Mus musculus: one gene and its partners. The protein of the gene in region 4 purifies or fractionates together with the protein of the main gene of each other region. This does not show direct contact. Links are inferred from orthologs where the notes say so. Each region holds a gene or a part of one and is shown on either strand. Other genes may lie near its edges.

Evidence for each region.
Region 1: the proteins of Mpp5 (region 4) and Amotl2 purify together in Homo sapiens (affinity purification with mass spectrometry; 3 studies listed by BioGRID and IntAct, counting the BioPlex papers as one, with this or other methods). This does not show direct contact. The link is inferred for Mus musculus from reciprocal best matches to the Homo sapiens genes PALS1 and AMOTL2.
Region 2: the proteins of Mpp5 (region 4) and Patj purify together in Homo sapiens (co-immunoprecipitation; 5 studies listed by BioGRID and IntAct, counting the BioPlex papers as one, with this or other methods). This does not show direct contact. The link is inferred for Mus musculus from reciprocal best matches to the Homo sapiens genes PALS1 and PATJ.
Region 3: the proteins of Mpp5 (region 4) and Lin7c purify together in Homo sapiens (affinity purification with mass spectrometry; 3 studies listed by BioGRID and IntAct, counting the BioPlex papers as one, with this or other methods). This does not show direct contact. The link is inferred for Mus musculus from reciprocal best matches to the Homo sapiens genes PALS1 and LIN7C.

The regions. Positions count from the first base shown.
Region 1 is NC_000075.6:102,720,006-102,724,564, forward strand, and holds part of Amotl2 (angiomotin-like protein 2), read left to right. Parts: intron 1-75; coding exon of another isoform or gene 76-137; coding exon 138-871; intron 872-3,563; coding exon 3,564-3,858; intron 3,859-4,559. UniProt on the Homo sapiens protein: Regulates the translocation of phosphorylated SRC to peripheral cell-matrix adhesion sites. Required for proper architecture of actin filaments.
Region 2 is NC_000070.6:98,401,539-98,406,097, reverse strand, and holds part of Patj (inaD-like protein), read right to left. Parts: intron 720-4,559; 5' UTR 686-719; coding exon 664-685; intron 564-663; coding exon 397-563; intron 1-396.
Region 3 is NC_000068.7:109,888,932-109,894,204, forward strand, and holds the start of Lin7c (protein lin-7 homolog C), read left to right. Parts: upstream 1-1,946; 5' UTR 1,947-1,953; coding exon 1,954-1,990; intron 1,991-5,273. UniProt on the Homo sapiens protein: Plays a role in establishing and maintaining the asymmetric distribution of channels and receptors at the plasma membrane of polarized cells.
Region 4 is NC_000078.6:78,818,039-78,822,597, reverse strand, and holds part of Mpp5 (MAGUK p55 subfamily member 5), read right to left. Parts: intron 3,412-4,559; exon of another isoform or gene 3,395-3,411; coding exon 3,233-3,394; intron 1,791-3,232; coding exon 1,713-1,790; intron 1-1,712. UniProt on the Homo sapiens protein: Plays a role in tight junction biogenesis and in the establishment of cell polarity in epithelial cells.

The DNA of each region.
Region 1 (4,559 bases), on a different chromosome or scaffold from region 4:
TCCAGAGTGTTCCTGCAAGTGCCCCTCCCTCCTTTGTTTGTGCTTCCTTTGACTGCTATTCTTTCTGTCTCTTAGGTGCTCTGAGACCAGGTGCCTGCTGGCCATTGTCTAGGCAGGTGTGTGCAAGCCAGAGAAGCATGAGGACACTGGAAGACTCCTCAGGGACAGTCCTGCACCGTCTCATCCAAGAGCAGCTGCGCTACGGCAACCTGACAGAGACTCGCACTCTGCTGGCTATCCAGCAGCAGGCCCTGCGGGGTGGGGCTGGAGCTGGGGGCACGGGGAGCCCCCAGGCTTCCTTGGAGATCGGAGCACCCGAGGACAGTCAGGTGCTGCAGCAAGCCACCAGGCAGGAGCCCCAGGGCCAGGAGCATCAGGGTGGAGAGACCCACCTGGCAGAGAACAGGCTGTACCGGCTGTGCCCACAGCCCAGCAAAGGAGAAGAGTTGCCCACCTATGAGGAGGCCAAAGCCCATTCGCAGTACTACGCAGCGCAGCAGGCAGGGTCCCGGCCGCATGTTGGGGACCGGGATCCTAGAGGAGGGGTGTCCGGAGGCGGCCGGCGACAGGATGAAGCTCTTCGAGAGCTGAGGCATGGCCATGTGCGCTCCTTGAGTGAACGGCTTCTGCAACTGTCCCTGGAAAGAAACGGTGCTCGGGTCCCCAGCCACATGAGCTCTTCCCACAGCTTCCCTCAGCTGGCCCGCAGCCAGCAGGGCCCCCAACCCCGAGGGCCCCCAGCTGAGGGCCCAGAGCCCCGCGGGCCACCACCTCAGTACCCACACGCTGTAATGGCTCAGGAGACTGCGGCTGTCACTGACCCAAGATACCGACCCCGAAGCAGCCCACACTTCCAGCATGCCGAAGTCAGGTAACCCCAGATTTCTTTCTAGTTCGGTCTCCCAGGAGGAGGAGAACCCCAAGATCATATATATCGTGGATCTCAACTGTCATGATCCCAATCCCAGGGCACCCCCACCAGTTCCTAGGGCTGTCTGATCTAGATCTACCCTCTCCTGTCTTGAGAAGGGAGAGCTGGGGGGGCTGGAGGGTAAGGGGATTTAGCTGATCCAGTCATGGTAGCATGCCTGTAATGTTTAGGTGAGGCAGGAGGATCACACCACCAGCCTGGACAACGTAGCAAGACTGTCTAAAACAAAAAGAAACTGACATCATTGCTTTAACTCAAAATATACATAGCATTGTCTATAGCATTCAAATAAGGAGGGCTCCCAGGGATGTGAATGGGGTTCAAAGGTGAGCATTTCTTTTTTTCTAAGAAAGAACTAACTAAAGACAATAGGAATCCTTACCAAACTTCTCCCGAGTTAAGTAGGCCAAAGGTGGAACTTATTGAAGGTTTTTAAGAGAAGGTGGACATTTTTTGTTGTTGGCTCATCATTGGGAGGTGTTGCTATTGAGGCTGAAAGAACTAGGTGGCTCGCTGGGCCACTTCTGTATAGTTACTGTCTGCCAGTTAATTACTTACTAGCTTTTCCCTTGTGCTTATGGGCCTAGATGAGTGAGTGAGTGAGTGAGTGAGTGAGCTGCTTTGGGGGGAAAGGGGGGGCTCAGGATGCTGTTGGACCAGAGTAGTGACTTGGCTTGACTTCCTGTGAAGTGAACTCTCGGGGAGTGTGTGTGTGTGAACTCTCGGGGAGTGTGTGTGTGTGTGTGTGTGTGTGTGTGTGTGTGTATTGGAGGGCATGATATGATTGGCTCTTAAGAGATCAATACTAGCCTTAGAGAATGGGTCATTGGAGCTAGGCTGGGAGCCCAGTTAGTATAAGCAGGAAGCCAGATCATTGCAGGAGTCCATGTTCCTAGAAATGAGGGGCTGCCTTAGTCATCTTTATTGGCCCCTGTGCCTTTTCCAGAGAAACAGGCACCATTGCTGTACCTCCTTTGGGGTGGGGTGAGGTGGGCTCCAAGGAACCTGGCTGGGGACCCTCTGGGTTCAAAGTCAGTCACCCTTGCTGAATCCTTATTTGGTCCCTCCATTTCCCACCAATTCGGTTTTCTTCACTCTGGAAGAGAATAGCCGCCTTGGGCCTAGTAGGGGAGCCAGGGGAGCGGGGATGTGTGGGGGTGTGGGGGGGGTGGAGCCTCGTGGGTTTACTCTAGCCTCCACTCCCCCAGACCCCCACCTCACCTCCCTTTTCAGGGCCGGTCAGGAAGAGTTTCTTCTTTTGGACCAGCCCTATTGAACCCTGCCAGGAAAAGATAATATCCAGGCAAGGAAGTGGGCTGTTTTGCAGGAGAACAAAAAGATAGGGAGGAGGGCGGTGGGAAATGGAAGAACCAGGAGCAAGTGTGAACGGAAAGGAGTCGTCGCCATTCTTCCCTGGAGCTCTCGATCATTCTCGAAGAATGTCAGTTGTGTCTGCCTGGCCTGTGGTAGGGAGGAGGGGGACAACAGTTATCTGAGGCAACCCTAAGAGTGACCACACTTGGCAGCAAGGGGGAGTTTAGTCAGTCTAGTGGCAGCCCTCTTCTCTGCACTCCCTGGAGCCTATAGGAGGAAAAAGGATGGGCAGGCTTTAGGGACTGAGTCAGGGGCTCAAAGAACAGGGGAGCGAGCCATAGGCTAGAGGGGTGATTTTGGACACTGGGGATGGCAGAGGGGGCATGAGAGATCCAGAAGTGAAATCCAAACTTCCAAGAGGCTTCTAGAACATTCTGAGTACAACTGAGAAGGCACTTGTGACACTTGGGGGTCACAAGGCCCCCAGAAAGAGCCTCTGGCTACCTGGGCCTAACTGTTCTCTAAACATTAGAGTGTAAGGATGTGTTACACTCATGGCCAAGGGCCGAAAGAACACAGTCCTGAACTCTGCTATGGAGCTAATCCAGGGGTTGCCCCTTAACTGAGGTGATCACCAACAGAGATGGAAGCTAGACAGTCATGGGTGAACCTGCTGTTACCAGCCATTTGGTCAAGCCTGGCTTCTGTGGCTGGAGACCCTTGTGATTTCGCCGACACAGGTGCCACTTGGCAGCTACAGCACTGGTCTGCTGAAGGCCTAGCAGCTGGAGCTGAAATCTGTTCCCCCTGGCATCTGATTCCCTGCTCTAACCTTAGCTGGGGTCTTGGAAAAGAATTTCGGTAGTTGTGGGTAGCAAGACCCTTGAAACAAAGAGGAGAAAAAACTCAGGTGAGCCGTTTTAGCTGACATGGCTTACCTGCTAGAATCCACTAGTAAGTGCCCTTCCTGGGGCCTGGGGACTCTGTGTGGCTTCCATCCCAAAAGATCCTTCTATCAATTCAAAAGGTCATGAGCGCGTCTTTAAAGGTAATATTTAAGCTGTATTTGCTTAGGACGACCCAGGTTGCTTGAACAGAATGAGCATCTGGATACAGCGCCACCGCCACCCTACCCCACACCCATCCTGCTCTCTGACTCTTGAGTCTTAGGCACATACCTTGTGGCACAGGCCCTCCCTCTGGTGGCTGCCTAACACTGGGGAGGCTCAGTCACTGGCAGTAATAGTCAGAGTGCGCGTGCACACGTGCGTGCTGTGTGTCTCGGGGCTCTGAGCTTTATTCACCTCTTCTTTCCCAGGATCCTGCAGGCCCAGGTACCACCGGTGTTCCTCCAGCAGCAGCAGTACCAGTACCTGCCACAGCCCCAGGAGCACTCTCCACCCCTCCACCCGGCAGCTCTGGGCCATGGACCCCCAAGCTCCTTTGGTCCACCTGCAGTGGAGGGACCACCCAGTGCCCAGGCCACCTTGGGCAGTGCCCACCTGGCCCAGATGGAGACTGTACTGAGGGAGAATGCCAGGCTGCAGAGGGACAATGAGCGATTGCAGAGAGAGCTGGAGAGCACTTCAGAGAAGGCTGGCCGCATAGAAAAGGTGGGGACTCCAAGGACACTCAGAGCGGTGGCCGGTGCAGAGGGAGGCAGAGGGGCAGGAAAGCCTATCAGGCTACCTTTTGCACCATATTCTCCTACACACACCCCCAGACACACACACACACACACACACACACACACACACACATCCCAAGCTGACTCCAGACAGCTGAGGACCGACCAAGAGGCCTGCCCTAATGCATGAGCAGTTGCTGGCCAGTAGTGGTTAGAAAGGACTCATTCACTAGCTCCCTGCACACTTGTACCCTCACCCTGCACAGCCCCTCCTGTGGACACCTCCCACAGAGAGCCCTTTGTGCACCCACACAACAGCCAGTCTGTTCCAGGCCAACACTGGCCAAAGAGAAAGCCCCTCCTCTCAGGGAAAAGAAAAAGCAACGCATTGGCAAAGCAAGCCAGCTAGGAGCACGTGGAAGACCTGTGGCTTCCAAGTGGGAGGGGCAGCCACATGCTCTGGGCAGAGGCAGCTCAGGCTGGGGTCTGGCACCCCCACTTCCTCGGTGAAGCCTGGCCAATTGTGTACTAAGGTTCAACTTTAGCAATAGCCTCAGGCTTTCCACTTGCTGTCTATCTACAGTGTTCTGGATAGGCTGAGCCACCTAGGTGCTCTCATCCCTGGTCCTTTGTAAACACTAGGCATGGGGCATGCTGGAGGTAGCCCCCTTGTAGAGCAGCTAGCCC
Region 2 (4,559 bases), on a different chromosome or scaffold from region 4:
TCAAAAATTGTAAATAGACAATAAATGCCAAGAGCTGAGAATGGAGCACAGTGGTAGATAGAGTTCCAGCATACGCAAAGCCTCGACTTGAACTCAGCACCAAAGACGGATAGAAGGATGGACGAATAGAAGGAAGGAAGGAAGGAAGGAGGGAGGTTAAAGCTATTTTATAACTTTGAAGAAAATGTTGAGATTCTAAAGCATTTGGTTTTTACAAATTTATCACATCCCATAGCCTAGCATAAACTTCATCAATATTTATACCATCCACAGATGCTATCTACAGCTTTCAGGCCCCACACAGCTTTTACTAATCTAAGAGTCGCAATCCTCCCGGCTCCTCCTGTATTCCTGCTGGTCGGAATCCACCCAGGTAAGGCCGGCTGAGCAACTTACCTGTCCCTTCAGCTGCTTGATGGACTGCTGCAGTGTAAGGATCTGGTTGAAGAGAGGGCTCTTCAGCGTCTCGTAGAACGCAGACAGCTTCTCGTTCTGCGTCGTGTCTCCCTTCTCCTGCAGCTTCCCTCGAAGGCGATCCAGGACCTGCAGGACCTGCATCTTCTCTTGGTTGGAGAAAGGTGATCAGAGCTCAAGTCAGACACCATCTCACAATCCATTTTTGAATCATTACATAACAACAATAAAAATATATAGCGTCTATACCTGCAGCAGGGTTTTCAGGCATTTTGGGATATTCTTTTCAATCACTTCCAAAAAGTCTAAAGGAAAAAATTAACTTTCATTACAGATGTCTGCAGTCCTATGGGGAAACTAAAGCAAACTTCAGAGCGTTCTTTATTAAGACTGTACTGGGTGAAATTCAAACTAAAACCACAATAAGGCACTAACGCATGTCTACTCAGATGAGGAAATTTTAACAAGACCAGAGTGAGTGTTGGCAAGGCTGAAAGGCACATCATGCCAGAAAGAAAATAAAATGACACAGTCCCTTGGGGAAAGTACTTGATATTTTATTTTTACTTAATTTTTATAGTTTAAATCATAAGTAGTTTCTTTTTCTTCTTCTTCTTCTTTTTTCTTGTGCTTTTGGTTTTTTGAGGCAGGGTTTCTCTGTGTAGTCCTGGCTGTCCTAGAACTCCCTGTTTAGACCAGGCTGGCCTCGATCTCATACATATCTGCCTGCCTCTGCCTACTGAGCACCAGTATTAAAGATGTGCTCCACCACCACCTGGCATCATAAGTAGTTTCTTATAAAGTTAAAAAGTACTAATTAATAACACACTCCTCCTGCTTAGAAACATTTACCAAGAGTAACGAAAAAAAATATGACCCATATGTGAGAGAACACAATACCATTTGTAAAAGGCCCCAAGTAGGAATACTCAGATGCCCAATCACAGACAAGTGGATAAACTAATGAGCGTTATATAACCCTTGGGGGAAGGGTTGCTGACACAACTGTAAGGATGAACCCGGAAACTACTCTGCTGGGGATGGGAGGTGGGGGAGTGGCTCGGGTGGCAGAGTCCATGACTACGCAGGATGCCTCAGGTCTCATCCCTAGTACCACATAAAACACATTACAAGTGATGCGTGACTATAATCCCAACACTTGGGAGGACTGGACAGGACAGGACAGGACAGGACAGGAGAATCAGGAATTCAAGGCCAGGTTAGACTACGAGGGATATGTGTCAACAACACAACTAACAAGGCTGTCATCAGCATTGGTAAAGGTCCAAGCGGTCCATGAAAGTGTTCCCCAGTGTGAAAATTCCCCCAAGGACCTGTGAACAGGACATCTCAGAAACACTTCTCAGCATCAGAATTGCACAGCTCTGGCAACAGTAAACAGGCAGCTACACAAACAGGACACCCAGCATGGCACCATCCTTCTCCATACCAGCACAGAGCCCCAAACCACCAGTCTGATGGCCATTAATCTAGCAAGATCAATAAAGCAAAGAATGCAAGCTCAAAATTGTAGGATGCCATTGTTATAGCTGAATGTCAGCCTGGTATGTTCTAGTTCATCAGAGAATAACAAGAACCTGGACTGCAGATATCTCTGATAAGAAGGCGGAGAGGACAAATCTACATGATCTTTTAGAAGGACAAATGTAGACGTGTACATTTAATTTACATTCTCTTTCCCCAGAATTTCAATTTCTGAGTGGGTGGCACTCGTGCTCTCTCTCTCTCTCTCTCTCTCTCTCTCTCTCTATATATATATATATATATATATATATATATATATATATATATATATATATCAGCACAATGATGTACGCACATGAGTAGTTTTTACGCTCTTTTTCATAGAGAAACTCCTGCAAACGTCAATTCTCACTAGTCACTGAAATGATGACTAAGTCAGAGTATGCTGAAGAGAAAAAGAAAAAAACATCACAGCATGTGGCTCTCTCCTTCAGCCTCTGGAGGCTCCCTGGCTGTAGTCCTCTTAGCAAATACACTTTAACAGAGTTCTTTATCTTAAAATGTCAGGCACAGTCTGAGAATCCATAGAGTCATGGGCATGGCTGGCTGCGAAACAGGAGACAGAGACACTTTTGTTTACCCAAGTAAAGAAAAGTTTATGAAAAAAAGGCTTCCAAGACAGAGAAGTTTTCCTTGAGTTCCAGGCCAGCAAGACCCAATCTGAAAGGAAATACATAAAAATAAAACTAAAGTAAGCATAACTAAAGTAAGCATGGAAAAACAAATGTAAAAAGAAAGAAGGAAGGAAAGACAGACAAACTTTATTTAGAAAAAAAAATTTATATATATATATATATGTATATGTGGATATATATATATATATATATATATATATATATATATATATATCAGAATTTTCCAGGTTTTTTTTTTTTAAGTATGGTGCTTTAAAAATAAAAAAGTGTCTTCATGGACTTAAAAGCACATATTTTCAAGGCAATTATTAGAAGCAGATCATCACCAGAGTCTAGGACTCTGGACCACCCCAGTGTGGTGGATCAGACCCTTGTGCACACTAAGCTCACACTATACAGTCCACCTACATGCCTAGCTCCATCATATCTTCTTAAAAGCCATAACTATGCACCTGCAGGTCATGTTTGGTTACCATGTGATTAAAAACCTAATTCAACAGGGCAGGCTATATGATCCTGACTACAATGAACTAGAGGATAAATCTTCTCTAAATCTGAGAGATTTGTGGTTCTACATGACATCTCTAATGGCCAGCAAATATTCTTTGCATTTCATTATTCTCTCCTGCTCAAGGGAACATATTCCTGGCATCAAAACCATTTGCTTACCAACAAACCACTTGCTATTCAAAATAAGCGTGTTCTGAGACTGAATTTTACTTCGATGGACAATAAGAATTTCAGTAAGAGGCTGTAAAAATGCACTCAGGAGTGGTTTCCTATATCGACACTTCAAGCATGTTGGCAGTGTTCCGTCAAGTGAGGGGAAGTGACATTTACCTGCTGGCTAGGGCTCCTCCAGCAGACAGCTATCTGCATCTCACTCCTGAAACAGGTACAGTTGGAATTGAGTGACATCTTGAATCCATGTAAGAACTGAGCATGCTGGGAAATCTACCCTTTGTATAAAACAGGAAAACTGTACAACATGCACAAGTGTTGTGAAACGCAGCACTTAAGGGATATTTGGGTTATTTTCATACTTCTGTAAGACAGAAACGTGTGCACTGGGGAATTTTCTAGAAAAAAAAATTTAGGAAGCAATAGTTATTGCTTCCAGAAAATAGAAAAGAGGAATATAAAAGTTAGCCTTTGAGGACTGAGGTTAGAACTCAGTGGTAGAGCGTGTATGCATGAGAGCCTGGATTCAATCCCCAACACCAGAGAAAAATAATAACAAAAATTAGTCTCTTTTACTTTATAGATTTTGGGGTTGTTTGAATTTTTATTAAAAAAAAATACGGACTTAAGATTTTAGTTCAGTGGTAGAATAGCATGTGAGACTCTCAAGTTTTATTCTCTCCACTACAATAAAAATACACAAAAACAAGTACTAATTTTATAATTATAGAACAGTGGTAAAAGTGTCAGATGTGGTACCACATACCTGTAATCCCAGCACTCGGGAGGCCAAGACAGGAGGATTCAAGTTTGAGGACAGCCTGGGCTACACAGTAAGACCCTATCTCAGGGGGACAAAAAAAAAAATCCAAGAAAAATTAAGGCCAAAAACGGCCAACACTTTTCAGACTTCTGTTGGCTCATGAGACTTCAATTTCCTACTAACAAACATCTGCTCATCTATCTGGGATTTTGGGAAGTAAGGTCACTGGCTATCTTGCTGGGAAAGCACAGGCACTCACTGAAGTGCGCATTTCAACTGGACCTTTACACCTGGGTGATTCACAACTCCAGAGCTCACTGAACCAGGAAGCTTGAAAAATATCCATGAGCTTAATATAATATTACATATAAAGTCTTAATGAAGTTCTTAAAAAAAAAAGTCCACTCCCTTCAGAGCCAGGGGTCAGGATTTATCCTGGTCCCTTTGTCCTCAAAGCTCAACATTTACTAGGTACTCGTTAAATAATAAACAGAATCCAAACCAAAGAGTGGTGGAGGCTG
Region 3 (5,273 bases), on a different chromosome or scaffold from region 4:
ATGTGAGTATGAAAACAAAGACTGAGTGTGATGGTTGGCATATGTTCTGCCCAGGAAGTGGCACTATTAGAAGGTATGGCTCAGTTGAGGCAGGTGAGGCCTTGTTGGAGTAGGTGTGTCACTTGTGGGTGTGGGCTATCACAGCAACTTCCTAAGTGCCTGGAAGTCAGTCTTCCACTTGCAGCCTTCAGATGAAGATGTTGAACTCTCAGCTCCTCCTGCACCATACCAGCCTGGATGCTGCCATGCTCTTGCCTTGATGATAATGGACTGAACCTCTGAACCTGTAAGCCAGCCCCAATTAAATGTTGTCTTTGTAAGACTTGCCTTGGTCACGGTGTCTGTTTACAGCAGTAAAACCCTAACTAAGATGCTGAGTAGCACAAGTCAGGAACACCAGAGACTTCCAGAAAACTGCTAGAAAGCCAGGCAGAGACAAGGAAGGGTTCCTGTAGATTAGAAATGAACATAGTACCTTTATTCCTGACTTGTAGCTCTCAGATTTGTGAGGCAATTATCTGTGGTTTTAAAACATTCCGCTTGTTATACTTCACTATGGAAGCTCTAGAAAACAAGGAGGGAATTCTAGTTTGAGAATTATTCAATTTTCTGTAACAGTTTTATAGCTTGCAGAGTCCTTCCAGCTGTGTTAAGGAAAGAAAGTGCATCCTGTTTCAATTTCTAGTCCTTAGAAGGTGACCTTTTATTCTCTGGAAACTTTTATGGTCTTCTGCGTAAGCCTGGAATTCTGGGATTTTTTGTGTGTTTATCATCAAAGACATGGAAAAAGACTACTCCAAAGGAGCAGAAGATAGAGATAAAGCTCAGATTTGTGTAGCTTGTACAAGTCTGCAGATTCGAGTCTCTGGAAAAGTAAGTAATGTGTAACCCCAGCTCATAAGAATAGCTCCTGTCAGCCAAGAAAACCTGTGTCATTTGTATGGAGCATGAGGAAGCTTGAAGGCTACTGCCCAGTGGTGGGATTCAACTACCTAATAACAACATGTAGAAAACTGCAGTTCAACGGAAAGAATGGGTCACCTGCAACCAGCTATTAAAACAATCCTGTCGTGCAGGTGTTACAAACTTAACACTGGACTATGATCTTTGCTACCCAAATCCAAGTTTCACAAAAATTATTTCATTGAAATTAGTGACTAAAAATATTTGGGTCCACCAAGTCTTCAAGAGTGGCCCTATGAGGATCTGGAGATGACAGACAGTGCTGTTAGGAGTACTGGCTCCTTTTCCAGGGGTCCTGGGGTTAGATTCCCAACACCCACAGGGCAGGTCTCAACCATCTGTAACTCCAGTTCCAGGGGAATAGATGCCCTCTTGTGGCCTCAGGTTTGTAAATGGTGCAGATATACATAAGGGCAAAACACCCATTAATATAAAAATTCTTACAAATTACAAAATGTACCCATAAAACAAAATCTATGCTTCATCCTTCATTCACAAGCAGATTTTGAATCGGCTAACTAAAAACAATACTTCGTGTATACCAAAGCGTTCTCTCCCGGTTGTTTTTTTTCCCACCTTTCTGCTCAAAGAGAGTTTTAGATAAAATTCGAATTGTAAATTTTTTAAATTAGATCAAGCTAGGATATTAAGAATTTATAAGAGGACTCGGACATGGGGAAACCAGCCTAGACGGTCAGAGGCTGCCGTCGGTCGGGTAAGGGCCGGAACTAAGGTCCTGACTTCCCCGAGGCAGGGGACACTCGGGACATCGGTTCTTTTCAACCTCAGGTTGTTGGAAGTGGACGAGCACAGACCCACGAAAGGAGGCCACCCGTCGGTCGCAAAGCGTCCCCGGCTACCGCTCTGCGTAGTTACCCGCATCCTTCTAGCTCTCGCGTTACTACCATCCTCGCCCTTCCGCTTTCTCGGCCTGGTCCACCGCGGCCCCTCTGTCGTCACTTCCTGTGGGTCTGCACCTCCGAAGAGAAGATGGCGGCGCTGGGCGAACCTGTCCGGCTGGAAAGGGGTGAGTGCGGCGGGGGTCGCGGCCGCGGTGGGTGGGGCGGGTCGAGACTACGAACCGCTCTGCCTGCGGGCCGGAGCGGAGGCAAGGTGACCCGGACGCTGAGCCCCGGAAGCCCTCGGCGGCCTCGGCGCCGGGCGCTGCTCGCGGGGGGCGCTGGCTGGCGTTTGAAAGCTCGCCAGAGCCGGCCGTTGAGGCTGGCGGCGGGCACAGCACGGCTCAGCGGCCTGCCCACGGCTGTAGGCACGGGCGCTCCCTGGGTCCGCACCGCAGCATCGGCTTTCAGCTTCATAGACCCTAAAAGCCGAGGCCACCACGCAGCCCGGCACTGTCTACGGTCAGTGTGCGCGAACAGATCAGTGTGGCCTCTTGGCCTGGTTCTGCCACTTGGCCGACACAGACACATTCCCGCAGAAACTCCCTCGCCCCCATTTAAAACTCAGACTCCTTCAGTACTGTGACCACAGCCTCCGGGCTTTGAGTTGCTCTTTCCTAACTTTCGCACCCCTCCAGCCACGGAGAGGATGCTTACAAAAACAAAAACAAAAAACAAACAAAAAAAAAACCCTCCAACTGACTTGATCTTGGGAAGGAGATTACATAACTAGGTGGAGTAGTGATTTGATTGTAAGTCACTTTTAAGTGCCATGCAATTCCATACTCATAAACCCTACACTTGGAAACCTGGTTGGTTGATTGCTTCTTAGAGCAAACAGCCAAGAAAAACCAACCCGATTGAAGAGAAGCCTGTGAAAAGACTCTCCCAGGGTCCAGTTGCAGCTTTCCAGTATTGTACTCTGTTCTGCCCCAACTTAAATTTCAGACAACTGGAACAAGCTTTGTACAATTCGGTAGTCATAGTAACCAGAAAGTACCAGTTAAGCATTTCGAGTGCTGTTGGCAAACATCGCCTGGGATGGAGTTTGACATTGCATATATTTAGTATTCACAATTATAATCTCAATATCGTCCAAGAAGGAAATCATTTTATAAAATTTGTGTATGTAATAGAACCTCTTTCCTCACACACTGTGCTGATTATGATTCGTTTTGCTTTTTATTGTAGTGACCATGGGAGCCTTTTGTTTCTTTTTAAATAAATGAACTTGTTTGTGACAGGGTAGCTTGGGAAAGAATAAGGTAGGCTTACAGCTGTGTCATTTTCCCCTCAAGTACTACGGTGTCAATGTGCTTTGAACACATTGTTACACAGGAACAAATCTGTTGGTGTTAACCAGAAGAGTTGCAAGTTTCAAACAAGATGGCGTTCTTTTGTATCTTTAAATGAAGCACAAAATGTGGACCTTTTCCCTCTGACATCTGCTTTTTGCTGTTAGGAAGTTTTTCAGTTAAACAGTAGAAAGCTCAAAATATTGGTAGGAATGAAGTCCTAGTTGGTTTTTGCCAGTTAGCAGGATAAGCAAGGCAGTTGGTGTCAAGTCCGATTCTGATCAAGAATTCTAACAGACCTAGCATATTCTCAAAAGTTCCACAGTACAATTCCACAGCAAAATACCAGTACATATGACCAAGTTCCTGTTTGCTTCAAAATCATCAAAGCACAATTCACTGGTGCACAAACTTAATGAGCATATATTTGGTATAGAGTGTTTAACTCATTTCTAAGTGTCTCCCTTCTCTCTACCCTCTCCTATCTCCTCTTTTCCTTCTTCCCACCATGTTGTATTGAGTTGAGAGCCTTGTACATATTAGGTGAGCACTCTGCCACTGAGCCGTTTTCCCAGCTGTATATGTAGGATTTTAATGTGGATAATGTATTGTGACTGTAAATCAACAACTGCTGAAACAACATTTACTAGCCATTCTGGTGGTGGGACATCAGAGCAAAGCTGGTCTGTTTGATTAACTGATTAATAGCAGTTTAAACTTTTATTATCTAAAACTGAATCAACTTTTTGCTTCTCTACTAAGTTTATTTGGACTTTTTCATAAACAAATGCAAAGTCCTAACTAATTCTGTGAAGTAAATGCCTGGTATTTTGTTGTTGTTGTTGTTGTTGTAGTTGTTGTTGTTGCGGGATTAAAGGTGTGCGCCACCACGCCCGGCTAAATGTCCGGTTTTTAACGTGGCATGAAATCAAAACTTTCCTCTAGTTAAGTCAAAGTATGCAAGGATCAGAATATATAGGATAGTATATAGACTTATATAGACTCTAAGGTATCCTAACCTTTGGAGCCAAATGAGCACAATTCAAACTTACTTAATTAAATTTAATTAGAATTTACTGCTACTTAATTAGCAATAAGAATATACTGAGGCTGGGGTTCAGAAAAACCTTAGGAAAAAACTCAGAACAGAGATTGTGATTAATAGTGTTATAACATGAAGTTGAGTTTTCTAAAGTTCTTTGTTCACATTTTTTACATTCCCAATGACAGTTATCTAATATGCTAAATGTGTCTGTGTGTGTGTGTGTGTTTGTAGCTCTTTCATATTTTTTTCTTTTTAAGTTGTATATGTTGGGAGACTTTGGAGAGGGGCGTGGCAGAAGAGGGTGTCAGGTCCGTGGAGGTTTAGGTAATTGTGAGATGACCAAGTGGGTGCTAGGATTCAGGAAGTGCTGAACTATGTCTTTGGCCCCTAATACTTTAATATTTCTCTGTATAGCCCTGGCTGTCCTGGAACTCACTCTGTAGACCAGGCTGGCCTCAAACTCTGAAATCCGCCTGCTTCTGCCTCTCAAGTGCTGGGATTAAAGGTGTGCGTCACCACTGGCCGGCTTAATATTTCTTAAAATTAATCCATACCAAGGAGACATACATCTGTGCTTGTGAAAGCGTTTTATTTCCTTTCCCCATATGAGGAAGGCAGTATTATTGCTGTTTTACAGTGAAAGACCATAAAACAGGCTAGGAAACTTTTCTGAGGTCACAAGCATTAGGACCAGGTTGATAAAGCTATTTTCGTTTTTTCCTTTTCCTTCCTGTTTTGTAAACCCTATCTGGACATGTCTGAGTTAAAACACTGTTAGCAAACCTCTCAGTTAGCTGCATTTCCACATGTTACTGAAGAATCTGAAGGTTCCCTTCAGGAAGTCAGCACATGGTCTCTTGGGTTTTTATTGGGTTTTGGTTTTGGGTTTTTTTGTTTGTTTGGGTTTTTGTTTTTTGTTTTTCTTCGTTTTTTGTTTTTTCCTGCTTTGGTTACAAATGAGTTGATCAGGTAAATTTTTATTGACTAAGTATTTTAGCTTTTCTTATCTAATGTAAAGATTTTTCCCCTTCTACCATTTATTCTTCATCTTTGGAGAATTTGGGGATTTGG
Region 4 (4,559 bases):
AAAGCTAACCAACAGCTGTGATGAATGGATGATTTCAGGACTCTGATTTTGCATTTGCTGAAAACAAGTGACAACATACCACATTAACTGAGAAGCAGCAGTATCAATATAGCATGCTAGTTTTATCTATTAAAGTAACTTTAACAGGCCACCAAGATACCTCAGTGGGTACAGGGCTTGCTGCCAAACCTGACGACCCAATTTTGATTTCTGAGACCCACAAGGTGGAAGGAGAGAACTGACTCCCTGATGACCATGTAGATGCTGTACTGCATATGCACACCTTAAAAAAATAAATGTGTAACTGTAAAAGAAATAACTTTTATTATAACTGCATGAACAGCAGAAAAGAAAAGCTGATAAAATATACCTCAACCTCTGACACTCATTCTCAAAAGACAAAAATCATTTACTGAGGAAGGATGGGTTATCAGGAGCATTTAGAAGACAGCATGTTCTAACCCTCTTCAGTGTGCAGAGCCTCTTTTCACACTTGAGCCTTATTTACAGGACAGACACATGGAAAGGCATAGCAAGTACAGAGAAATGACTAAATTCAGAGGCCAAGTCTGTTTCCTCATGTTTCTTCCTACAAAGAATTCTAAACATAAAAAAGGTTGCACACGCAACACCGACCGCAGTATGTTCTGGAAAAAAACAAAACAAAACAGAAAACAGAAAGAGCTAAATAAAACAACACACCTGTGGTGACTATGAGCAAAGCAGAATGCTATACATGTATGAAAATGTATGATACATGTATGAAAATGTTATGATAAAACCATGATTTGATATGATAACTAAACAAAAATAATGATAAAAAATAACAAATATATAAAGATCAGGCTTCTATGTCAATTTAGGAACTTAAAACCTCATTTTTAATTGCTTATGATGTAGTTAATATGCTACACCATTTATGGTTTTAGTATATGCAGAGACAGAGGCTTACCATTGATATTGTTAGAATATTTTCAACCTTCTGGACCAAATACTGATAAGGAGCTATTTCCATTCTTTCCCAAATCTCCATCTAAGGAGCCACTGAAATTTTTCTGTTTCTATGGGCTTACCTATTTTGGATACTGTATGTAAATAAACCAGTAAAGGGCTTGTGATTGCCATAAATTTTTCAAGCTTATCTATTTTGTAGCATATACTCACACCTCAGCCCTTTTCAATCAAGTAAGATTTCAGTGTACAGACAGATAAACTATGTTGTATTTTCAAGTTATTGCTGGTGGCTGTTGCTATTTTTAAGTTGTTTTTATATTTTGGGTCTTATAAATAATACATGCCTGAATATTCATGTACGATTGTTCTATTACCAGGAATTGCTAGGTTGTACAGTAATCAAATCTATCATTTAATAGAGCTGTGTTAAATACTTAGTAGATAGAAATACACCAGAGTAATGACTTACACACATTTGTTAAAGTACCCTTCTCTATGTGACTGAGCAAAACTTAATTATACCTGAAGACAAACAACACTGTTAGTCTGAAGTTGAACTATGTTGTATATTTTACTTTTAAAAAGTTCAGAGTTTACTACATTTTAAAAGTTGATTTTTATACTTATTTAAATACAATTACGTGATTTCTGTTTTTACTTGAACAAACTATATTCAGTGAAGTTTCTGATACAGAAAATTAGACATAAGTCAAAGAAGAATAAACAATTTTAAAATAAGTAATTTTAAAATTACTTACTACAGTTTCTTTGGCAGGAGGGGGCTTGATCTGTTGACTAGGAATCAGAACAAATGTCAAAGTACCATGCATATCAGACTGTAACAGAAAGGTTAAAATACTTTAAAAATCTCCCATGATCTTATGATTAACACACTTTAAACAGGATGATGGCAGAATTCCCTCAGTCCTATACGAAAACATTTCCCATCCCTAGCTACTTTCATTATTTAGTCTTCCTGTCCACTGTTTACTGTATTGAGTTGTGCAGCTAGATTCATAATTCCTGCCCAGTACAGCACTAGCTGTATTCAGACATATCCAGACTAGACAGCATTCTTCATAATGTTTATACAAAATACAAACAGTGCACAGTGCAAGCCAGTACCAATCAAATGGACCATGAGTGACCATCAATGGCACTTTGCTCTACAGAGCTATGTATGAGCAGAGATTTGGTGGAAAGAGGGACATGGATATTTTCTAGCTTTTACAATAGATATCAGCAGGTAGGAGACATACTACTGTATCACCTCATGTTGAATGATTAAGAATATGCACATGGGTTTGTAGAGGGGAGTACTGGCTGGTGCCATGGGAGGAGAATCACCAAAAAGGTCAGTCTGGGCTATATAATGTGTTTTATTTCAGACCTTGCCTTCAAAAAGGAAAAAGAAAAATCATATGTTGTGTTGTATACAATATGATTAAACATCATTTTCAAGACAATGAGGCTAAGCATGGTGGCACATGCTTTTAATTCCAGCACTTAGGAGACATGGACAGGTATATCTCTGAATTTCAGACCAGCCTAGTCTACATAGTGAGTTCCTGGCTAGCTAGGACTTCATAATGAGACCTCAAAACAAACAATCAAAAAACAACAAAAGACTGTTCATCAGTTAAGAGCACTTGTGGCCCTTGCAGAGGATCTCGGTTTGATTCCCAGCACCCATATTTTGGCTCACAACCATATGTAGCTCCAGCTTTAAGGAATCCAATGTCTTTTCCCGACTTTCTCAGATACCAGTCATGTATGTGGAACATATTCATGCAGGTAAAACACTCATAAGGCATAAAGTAAGTAAATCTTAGAAAATTATTTTTAAGAAGGTAATTAAAAGTGAGTACCAAAGTATACCAGCACTGTCCAGGATAATTTACTCAACAGAGATGTGTAGTGGCTATCTCAGACAACAGCCATTAACTACATAATCAATCTTGTTCAACTATAGCTAGTGTGAATAAGAAACTGAGTTTTAATTTAATTCACCAGGAATGTACAAGGTGTACAGAAATACATAGAAACAAATCTTTAAAAAAATAGTAAAAGTAAAAATAAAAGTTATAATAAAACTCAAAGTAAATAAAAATAAACCTAAAACTAAATATATAATAACAAAAATTGACAAATTCTGTAAAAGTTAGGCTAAAAACTACCTTATACTCATTAGTTATTTTAAAAAATGTTCTCTAATGATCTAAGTTTAATAACAAAACAAGCTTTTAAATGAATCAAATCTTCTACAGTCTGAACGTACCAACAAGTCAAAAACCTCATTGACATCCTTGCCCCGGATTTCAATGCCGTTGATCTCCAGAACTTCGTCTCCTTCGTGCAGGAGGCCACTCTTCTCTGCGGCGCCTCCTTTCACTATCCGGCTTATGATGACAGAATCCATTTCATTACGAACTGTGGCACCCTAAAAACACCCAATATCTAATTTAAACATAAAAATGCAATTTTTTGTTAAGCATTTCATTTTTAAATTTTATTCTTTTAAATCTAGTAAGACTAGTCCTTAGTTTAGCTTATCTTAAGAAAAAAAGATTTCCTCACATTGCTAAAGTAACAACTGTAATTGTAACACGAAAGCTAAGTATTCCCCACCCAACATTTCTGTCTCAGAGATACTGTATTCATTAGAATTCTGAAGTACAGACTTCTGAAGCATATAAAAGCAGAAAAAAAATACACTGTGTTTAAAGACATAAAATCAACTTTTTTTCTGCTGCATTCTATTCCAACACCTAGAAAACATCTAGGCATAATTAACACAGTGCTTAACTATAAAGAATTTCTTAAAATTCAAAATATAATTAAGGGATAAATAGCTATATGGCTAACTATACAAATGTTAAACACAGCTATAGCCAAATGTATTAAATACTAATATTTATTATACAAATTGAAAGAACAGTGGGAAAGTGTATACTCAAAAGCTAGAACAGTAAAATAAGATAAAACCTATTTTGTGGGGCTCAGTGGTTACAGCAGTTCCTACAAGGGACACAGATTTTTGTTCCTAGCACCCACACTGGACAGCTTACAAACCCCTGTAACTCAAGCCAGGGGATCCAACTCCCTTTCATCCTCTGCAGGCACCTGCATGCATGTGGCACATATAAATACACTCAGACACATACTCATAATGAATAAACAAATCTTTTTTATAAAACTAATTTTCTTAAGTATTTACTTTAATATTATCATGACCTTTCCTTTTATTCTCCAAGATGGAACCAGTTACATAAAGTACTTAATGCACTCTTTTTAAAAATTATTTTTATTACTCTATTACTCTGTGTGTGTGTGTGTGTGACCGCGTATGTGTGTGCTGGAAGTCTTCAATCTCTTTCCATCTCATATTTGGAGCAAAGTCACTTAACCTGGAACTGACTGATCTGGCTAGGCTGGTGGCTAGCCTGCAAACTCCAGAGAAGTCTTCCTGTCAGTGACAGAGCTGGGATTACAGAAATGTCATCATTCCTGGCTTTTCACATAGGTGCTGGGGTACAACCTCTTGATCCTCATGTTTGGGTGCCAAGAACGTTTCAATTAAACTATGTATCTAGCTCCCAAAGACC